Linked DNA regions of Rattus norvegicus. The protein of the gene in region 2 interacts with the protein of the main gene of each other region in a pairwise test. Links are inferred from orthologs where the notes say so. Each region holds a gene or a part of one and is shown on either strand. Other genes may lie near its edges.

Region 1 (4,286 bases), on a different chromosome or scaffold from region 2:
TTTGCTGCATGGACGGCAGTTGGGGCAAGAGAACAGGACCTGTGTGAGAAAATCTAGGAAAATAGAGGGGAAGGGTGGTGGTGGGGGTGATTTGAGAAGTGTTCTGGATTTGACAGCAATTGTGTTCATTACTGTGTAACTGGGAATTATCAACAACACATTTAAGAACCATTATATTTTCCCTTTTTTTTTCTTTTGAGGCAGGGTTTCTCTGTGTAACAGAGTCTTAACTGTCCTGGACTTGCTTTGTAAACCAAGCTGGCCTCAAACACACAGAGATCTGCCTGAGGAACCACTATGGTTTTTTTTTTAGGCTTAATTTTTTAGGGGGTAAAAAGAAGACTGTTAAAGACACATTTTGGGGAAGGAATTTAAGAAAAAGTGCTTAGAGGAGGGCACGCTAAATCTGAGACATAACTAGAGCCTTGCAATAGAGACAGCATGTCAGTGACACACTGCAGTCTGTGAACACAAATTTGGACGTTGTTGGCATTAAGTCGATATCGAACCCGTTGGAAGAAATTAAATAAACCTGGAGGGAATAAAAGGATGTGGAGAAACAGATTTAGACGTGAACCAAGAGGCATAAATGATACTAAATTGCATTTTCGGGACGTCATACATATTCTATGCACAAAATGTTATTTCGGCTTGGATGTTAACTGATTAAAGCCACCCCCGCAAAACATCCTCAATCAATACATTTGGACAAAATAAATAAGGAAACTGTGAGGGTGCCGTCTCCACCTGCACTCACAACTGCAGCGGTTTTGCTGCAGGATTCGCCCTGGACCAGTCTGGATGCATCCCAACTTTCCACCCCGGGCCAATACATCCAGGCCTCGGGAAGCGGAGCGGAGAGCGCGCACGCCCGATCGATCCTCTCACCTTGGCTCGCTTCAGCAGCTGGATGATCTCTGCCTCCGCCTCGTCTGTCGCGTCCTCTCCCGGCTGCTCCTCTGCCGCCGCGGTTCGCGAGAACCAGGCGAGCGCTGCGAGAAGCGGCTCAGAGGTCACCGGGACCGGCCCGTGCCCGCGCCCCCGCCCCCGCCCCCGCCGGGCCGGCCCCGCCCGGAGCGCTCCGCTCACCTGCCAACAGCGGCAGCACTCGGTGCCCCCGCGCCGGCGCGCCTCGGGTCCGCAGCCGCTCCGCGCCCGGACCCGCGTCACCGGCCCGCTCCGGCAGTAGGCGCGCAGTACAGCCCCCGCACCGCCGGCCCGCGGCCCGCAGCAGGGTTCGACCCAGACGCCAGCGAAGCAGCCGGAACATGCCGACGCGTCCTCACAGCTCCACTAGCCGCGGCTGGCCCGGGACGCCCCGCCTGTCCGCATGCGCGATGACGCGTGATGACGTCACGCCGCCTCGCCCCGCCTTCGGCCTGCCGCGCGCAAAGAGTTCGCAGCCCACGGGAAGAGAAGTCGTGCGGCGTGCTATGGCGGTCACGCTCCCGGAGGTCGTGGAGGAGCTCCTGAGCGAGATAGCCGCCGCTGTGCGGGACAGCGCGAGAAGTATGGCCCGCGAACTTTTATTCTTATCCTGTATAGCTCTGTCCCTGAAGCCTGTGCTCGTTAAATCGCTAAACTAGAGGACTTTGAATGACTAGACGTCAGATCCCTGAGTGCGAGCCGGTGTGCGGGAACCCCGGGTACTTGAAGAGAGCCACTGGGTATACCCAAGGAGTGGGCGAGGGCAGGGATGCGGAATGGCAGATGCCTAGACAATTTTGAGTTACTCGGAATCATTATCCACAATCCGTGATGCAAAGCTTAAAAAAAACACTCTTGTTTACTTTGTTTAGTAAACATATTTTACTAAAAACATTCTAGGGATGCAAAACCTTTAAAGAAATCTGCAAGTTGAAAAGTACTTCTTTCCTCTACCTGTAGAGGTCGCCCTATGCCTGTCTCCAACAAAATGACTAAACAAGGATGATCTTTGCTTACCAGCCAGAGTAGGAGGAGCTACCAATGGGGGAAACTAGTAATGAGGATCTACTGCGTAGCTCAGCTAATAGAGGGCTTGTCTAGCATGTATAGAGCTACCGTGGATTCCCCGCCGCCGCCTAAGACTGAGCACATGGCTGTAATCTCCGCACTTGGAAAGTGGAGACAAAAGAAGGGAAAGTTCAAGGTCAACCCTCAGCTACGAAATACTAGGCCAGACTGGGCTACTGGAGACTATCTGAAAAAGGGAGACGGGGATGAGGGGAGAAGGCTTTTGGAGTGTAGACTAGTTAGAAGTACTCTTCCAAAAATAGCCTCTCTAAATGATAGTCAAATTAGAGCTCAAGACTGCTACTGCCCATTCATTGTGCTCTGTGAAAGGGTTGGCGTTACCGCTTTAACAGAACAAGAAAAATAAGCAAACGAATGGTCTCAATTTGGCCTTTTACGTATGTGTAAAAGATTCAGCCAACCAGGTATTCAAACATGTTTTGATTTCTAAAAGTTGTGGGTTGTCAGTCTGTTGTGAGCTCTTGCATGCAGAATTTGACCGCAGATGTTCTGAGATGTTTACAGAACACTTGCTAGAACGGGGCTGTTGGTGGGTTAATACATATGCCAACAACTGAAGGGGACCCCGAGCTCAGAAACAGACTCTTGTGTTTACTTTTTAGTAGGACACTTTTCAATATTGGTTCTGAGTACTCCTTCCTAATCCCTGATCTTCCTTGGTAACCTTGCAGAATATAAGTACAGGTTGCACATATATGGTTTAAACTAGTTGGTACTGAGCTATGTAGGAAGCTTTGATTTCCTTTCCTGGGTTACTTGGTTTCCCTGAATTATAACCATCTTGGCTTACTTAGTTTTCTACATATGTATTTTTACTTGAACTTCAAATTTTTTCACCACTATCATGGGCCTCCACTCAAAATGTTAAGGTAAAAAAAGACATTTTATCAGTTACATTTTCGTAAAGAAATCTGCCTAGAGCCTGCCGACTTGCCTAGTATGGACTCGCTGGTGTCCGGTCGGGCTACTGCTATCTTCCTTCAGTGTTAAAGGCTTGGGAATTCTCTTTTCCCATTTTGGGTCTTGAGTTTAGCATTTCCTACAATTTACTTTCCTCTTGTTTATCCACTTGTGTATTGTTACCTGTCTTAGTTTATGCAGTACGTACTTGAGTAGGTTCCTGACGAAGGCATGAACTGTACTTTTGAGGCTTTGAATGTCTGAAAAAGGTTTTTCTACTCTCACAGTTAAAAGGTATTGTCTCATGTTGGGAAGAACATTTCTTCAGACATCTGAAAACATTGTTCCATAATCATCTAGCATTTTGCATCTAACTCTGGTGCTGAATTTTGTCTGTGGCTTTTTTTCCCCTCTGGGTATTTGAATTGTCCCTAAGTATCCATGGTTGTCCATATTGCCAACGTACAAGTTCCTTTGGCAGGATGGCACGTGATCCAGACTCACCTTCCTTTGTACTCTAACATGCTAGGTAGGTAGAAGACGTCCTGGGTTGCTTAGGGAAAATGAGAGAAGAATGGCATGTTTAGTAGAGACTCAGAATTTTCCAGGGCTGGTAGTACTGGTTTCAGTTTGGTTTTGTTCGGCCTTTTCATAGTCCAGGCTGGCCTTGAGCTCCCTGTGCTCGTGCCTTAGGCTTCCGAGTGTCACAGTTACAGGCACGTACCTGCCTTTCCATTTCTTTTTAAACATTCCATGGGTGTTTTGCCTGCATGTGTATCAGTGTACCATGTGGGTGCAGTGCCCTCCTAGGCCAGAAGATGGCACCAGATCCCCTTGGACTGGAAAGTGAGCCAGCTGTTGGGAGTTGCGGGCAGGGGGAATGAACTGCTGAGCCGTGGCCCCGCCCCTCAGTTCTTATCTCCTCTTAGTTGAGTCCAAAGATGTTGGTCCCACGTGTATGGAGAGCCAGTTATATCTTCTTTATGACCATGATTCTCAAGCTTCTGATAAGATTTTGTTCGAGTTTCATTTTTACTCCTGGATGGATGTATGTCTGCATGTGTCCACGTGTGAGGGAGCCCCAGAGGCCAGAAGAGGCCCTGTGGAGCTTGCAGTACAGAAGTGAAGAGCTACCCAGTATGGGTGCTAGAAACGAAACTCCAGCTGACCGAGAGCGGCCACCTAGCAGGTGCATCATCTCCCCAGCCCCTGGTTTAGTTTTCCACTCTACCATGTGGCTCTATTAACTTACTTCATAGACGTTTGGTTTTTCTTCCTAGTATTCCCGTCATTTGGCTATAGAATGTCCTTTGTTGTCCCTAAGTGATTTGTCTCCTATATTTAACCTTTCTGTCCCTGCCTCAGCTTCT
Region 2 (4,227 bases):
GCAAATGAGATAGAAGGCAAGGACTGACCTCCACACACTCAGGGTGACACAGGCGATCCTGCACACGCCCCCACAAAAAAAGATTAAAAAAAGTAAAACAAAAATCAGGATCAGTGAGATGGCTTAGGGGATTCTGAGCCCTGAAGGTCTGCCATCCAGGGAATATACATGGTGAGGGAGAAAGAACTGAATCCCATCCCGGAACTAGTCCTCAGAGCACATGCACCCTGTGTCATGGGAGTTTCTAGACTGCTTGCTCGGCATGTACAAAACCCTGAATTTCATCCTCAGCCTTGCATGAATTTATCGCGGTGGCATAGGCTAAAATGTCTGGGGCCCTCCTTAAAAAAAAAAAAAAGGCCAAATCTATGAGTCTGTAGCCCGTAAAAACCACCCCCATATTCCAATATGCAGAGACTAGCAGACAGCTATCCCTTTCCACCTGTGAACTTTCCTTCGGTGACCTTAGCAAATCTTCTCACCAACATATTGTAATGATCACATAGAATCACAATATTTATTTTGCAGGTGGGCAAGCTAAGAGTCTGGTTTGTTTTTTTGTTTGTTTTTTTTTCTTTTTTTTGGAGCTGGGGACCGAACCCAGGGCCTTGCGCTTGCTAGGCAAGTGCTCTACCGCTGAACTAAATCCCCAACCCCGAGTCTGATTTTTATTATTAGTGTTTTGTTAAAGATAGGTGCTCATGTAGCTCAGGCTGGTTGCAGACCTCAACATTTGTTGAGGGGACCTACTTTTTTTCTTTTTTAAAAGAGACGGTTTCTGTAGTCTGGTCTTGAACTCAGATCCGCCTGCCTCCACCATTCAAGTGCTAGAATTAAAAGTGCGCCGAGCGGCTTCTACTTTTTTATTTTTAGATTTATTTTTACGTGTGTGTGTGTGTGTGTGTGTGTGTGTGTGTGTGTGTGTGTGTGTGTGTGTGTGTGTGTGTGTTTGTGTGCGCGCGCGCGCACCCGGAGGGCCATTAGAATGTGTGCCACGTGCAGCGGAGGCCAGAAGAGGGCGTCGGATTCCCTCAAACTGTAGTTATGGATGGCTGAGAGTCACCTAGTAGGTAGTGGGAACTGAACGTGGGTCTTTTGGAGAAGCAGCCAGTGCTCGTAACTGAGCCATTCTCTCCAGCTCCGACCGAGAGCCTGAGCGTCTCTGGGGAGCGCATTTGGACCCTCGCTCGACCTTCCTTTTAATGGACCACGCGGCTTCTTGCAGCAGATTCCCTCAAGTACCCATTTCCTCCACTCTCCTTGTTTTGACCATTTGCCGACAGCTCCAGCAACGAACCTAGACAGTGAACTATAGCCAATGAGGCCTCGGTGTGGGCGGGCCCAAGATGAGATCTCGCTTCTGATTGGACAGCGGTACTAAGCAAATGGCGGAGGCGCTGAGGCGGGTACTAAATGCGGGCCGCGCGGCAGGGCCCGGAGAGGATAGCAACCCCGGGCCGCCCTTGCTGTTGCTCGGCGCTCCGCGCTCTGCGCAGACGTCGCTGCTGTTTGCCGCGGCTCTTGAGGCAGCAGGGGAAGGCCGCGGGCCCGTCCTCTTCCTGACGCGAAGGCCTCTTCAGAGCCTGCCTCTCAGTACACCCGCAGCGCGAGACCATTGGCGGCTCCAGGTAACCGGAGGGCTGGACCTGGCTATGCGTCACCCAATGGCGGGCTAGGTTGCTCATGAGTGACAGTTCGGTAGGTAAATGGCAGTGTGGATCGTAGATTTACTGCTAAATCGTCATAAAGTCTATATGGGAGAGGTGGGTGGAAGAAGCGAAGTAGGCACCTGGGACGGGACAGTGCCGGCTTAGTTGAAGATTAAATGAAAGACCGTCCTGCGGTGTTGCTGAGCATGGGTGCCAAGCCAAAAAACAAACAAACAAACAAACAACCCCCCCCCCCAAAAACCACCAACAAAAACATGTGCGAAGCCCTGGGTTCTTTCTATCTCTTTAACCAGACTTAGTAATATATGCCTGGGATTCAGTTCTTAGGAGGTCAGAAGTGTCAGACCAGCCTTGTTCACAAAACGAGTTTGTGATCATCCTGGACTACATAAGATTCTGCATTAAAGAAAATTTTTTTGGGCAGTGATAAGTGCTGGAAAAGGGCGGGTAACAAGGTGAATATTTGAGCTGGTGCTTCATCCTGGAACTTTCCAAATGGACCATGAGAGCCTCGACCAGAAAGTATGGAAGAAGTGAGGTAGCCGTAATAGAGAGTTTTGACCTCCTATATTAAATCTAGCCTTTTCCTATCTTCTAGAAGATTCGATTCCAGTACCCATCCTCAATTCAGGAGCTTCTCCAGCTGCTAGCCTCTGCCCATGAGGCCCCAGCGCCTGTCCCATCCCTTCTACTCCTGGATGGCCTGGAAGAATATTTAGCAGAGGACCCAGGGACACAGGACACCGCCTACTTGGCTGCATTGCTTCTGGATACTGCTGCCTATTTCAGCCACCGGCTTGGAGCCAGTGGCAACTGTGGGCTTGTGGTGGCCCTTGAAACCCAAAAAGAAGCCGATGGTGATGTCCCACATCTGGCATTACTTCAGCGTTATTTTCCTGCACAGTGCCGGCTGCAGCCAGATGCCCTAGGCTTGGGACAGCATTGCTGCCTTCGAGCTAGCCTAGAGACAGGCAAGCTGAGCCCCAGGACAGAGTGGTCAGTGACTTTCTTACCTGGTGGAGAGATGAAGATCACCCCATGGCCTGCCCAGGCTTCTAAGCTCAGCCCAGACCAAAACTGTTCAAGTGCTGGAAGCCAGTCTTTAACTTTGGGGTGTGACAACCTCCCTAGTCCCAGGTTTCCCTTGGATGGAATACTTACCTCAGGGACAGGTGCAGATTCAAAGACCTGAGAATGTAGGTTTCCTGTTTATAAACCAGCATCATTGTTGTTGGGGGCTGGCAAGATGACTTAGGAGGTCAAGGGTCTTGGCCACCAGCGTGATGACTGATTCTCAGGACCCACGTGGTAGAAAGATAGAACGGACTCCTGGAAGTTGTCCTCTCACCTCCACACATGCCCTGCACACTAATAATAATACTAAATTAATAATGAAACCTTTAAGACAAATAAGATCGCTGGAGCCTTCCTCTGTCCACTCACCATTGTTAATGAGATTCAGCCATATTTCCTAGTTCATTTCTTTTTATCTGCTGCATTTTTTACCCAGAATGGCTCTCTCGTAAGTCAGGCTAGTCTCAAACTAGATACGTAGCTGAGGCTGTCCTTGAACTCCTGATCCTCCAGCCTCATCTCTTGAGGGTGGGGCCTATGGTGTATGCTCCTATTCTTGGCTCCTCTTGCACATTCCATGGGTGCCTGTATCCCGGTTACCTCTGTGTGTTGACTTACCGACTGTTAGGGTCTAGTCATACACATGAGCTTACACAGCACTCAGGGTGTGCAGTTGGGAGTGGATTCGTTCCATGTAGAGTATGCATACATCTAGCTTTCTTAGGACATACATTTTTAAAGTCATTTGACGGAAGCTGAGCATCATGGTGTGCAAAATGGTAAGGCCAGCTTTGGGAGGTAGAGGTGGGAGGTCACAAATGCAAGGCTAACCTTGGCTACATAAGGTATTGGAAGCCATGCTGACTTACACTAGATCCTGTCTCCAAAAACCAAAATGGGCCAGGTGTGGTGTGGCACAGGCCTTTAATCCTAGTGCAGAGGCAGGTGGATCTGTGTGTATGTGTTTAAGGCCAGCCTGGTGTATGTGCCAAGTTCCAGGCCAACCAGGGCTACAAGGACAAAAACTAGAGAACTGGAGGGAGAGCTCAGTGGTTAGGAATTCTGTCACCGAGTCAGCTTTGGTTATGCATGTGTCTGAGTCATTTCCCTGAATAATCCCTCACCCATGTTCCTGCATAACTCCAGTAAAACTTTATTGGTTCACCAAATTGGACTTTGGTGGTATGTGTACGTGGGTTTTCTATCTGTCAAGTAGACGTCTGTTCATGTCCCACAGGGGTAGTGTTACCAACCATGGAGAAGGCATTAGGTTTTGGAGCAGCATATATTAGCAGCTAGCGAAATGTACACTGACCATTATAGTCTGTCCTCATATCACCAGATCCAAAATTTCAGTGCTCACTCTTTGTTTCCATGGGCTAGGTCCAGGCAAAGACGGGGTACCCGGAAGGGAGGGTTGTGGTGCAGTCCGCAGTCTTTGTGGCAACCCAAAGGCAGACAGAAGAGACTAACAGAAGCGCAC

What was found.
Region 1: the proteins of Swsap1 (region 2) and Zswim7 interact in binary tests that used the Homo sapiens proteins (3 or more experiments, as listed by UniProt). The link is inferred for Rattus norvegicus from reciprocal best matches to the Homo sapiens genes SWSAP1 and ZSWIM7.

What each region holds. Positions count from the first base shown.
Region 1 is NC_086028.1:47,466,067-47,470,352, reverse strand, and holds the start of Zswim7 (zinc finger SWIM domain-containing protein 7), read left to right. Parts: upstream 1-1,433; coding exon 1,434-1,509; intron 1,510-4,286. Other genes in the region: Ttc19 (tetratricopeptide repeat protein 19, mitochondrial), read right to left, coding at 889-992, 1,090-1,270. UniProt on the Homo sapiens protein: Involved in early stages of the homologous recombination repair (HRR) pathway of double-stranded DNA breaks arising during DNA replication or induced by DNA-damaging agents. Required for meiotic progression, hence for fertility.
Region 2 is NC_086026.1:28,761,372-28,765,598, forward strand, and holds Swsap1 (ATPase SWSAP1), read left to right. Parts: upstream 1-1,381; 5' UTR 1,382-1,683; coding exon 1,684-1,698; intron 1,699-2,268; coding exon 2,269-2,862; 3' UTR 2,863-3,910; downstream 3,911-4,227. UniProt on the Homo sapiens protein: ATPase which is preferentially stimulated by single-stranded DNA and is involved in homologous recombination repair (HRR). Has a DNA-binding activity which is independent of its ATPase activity.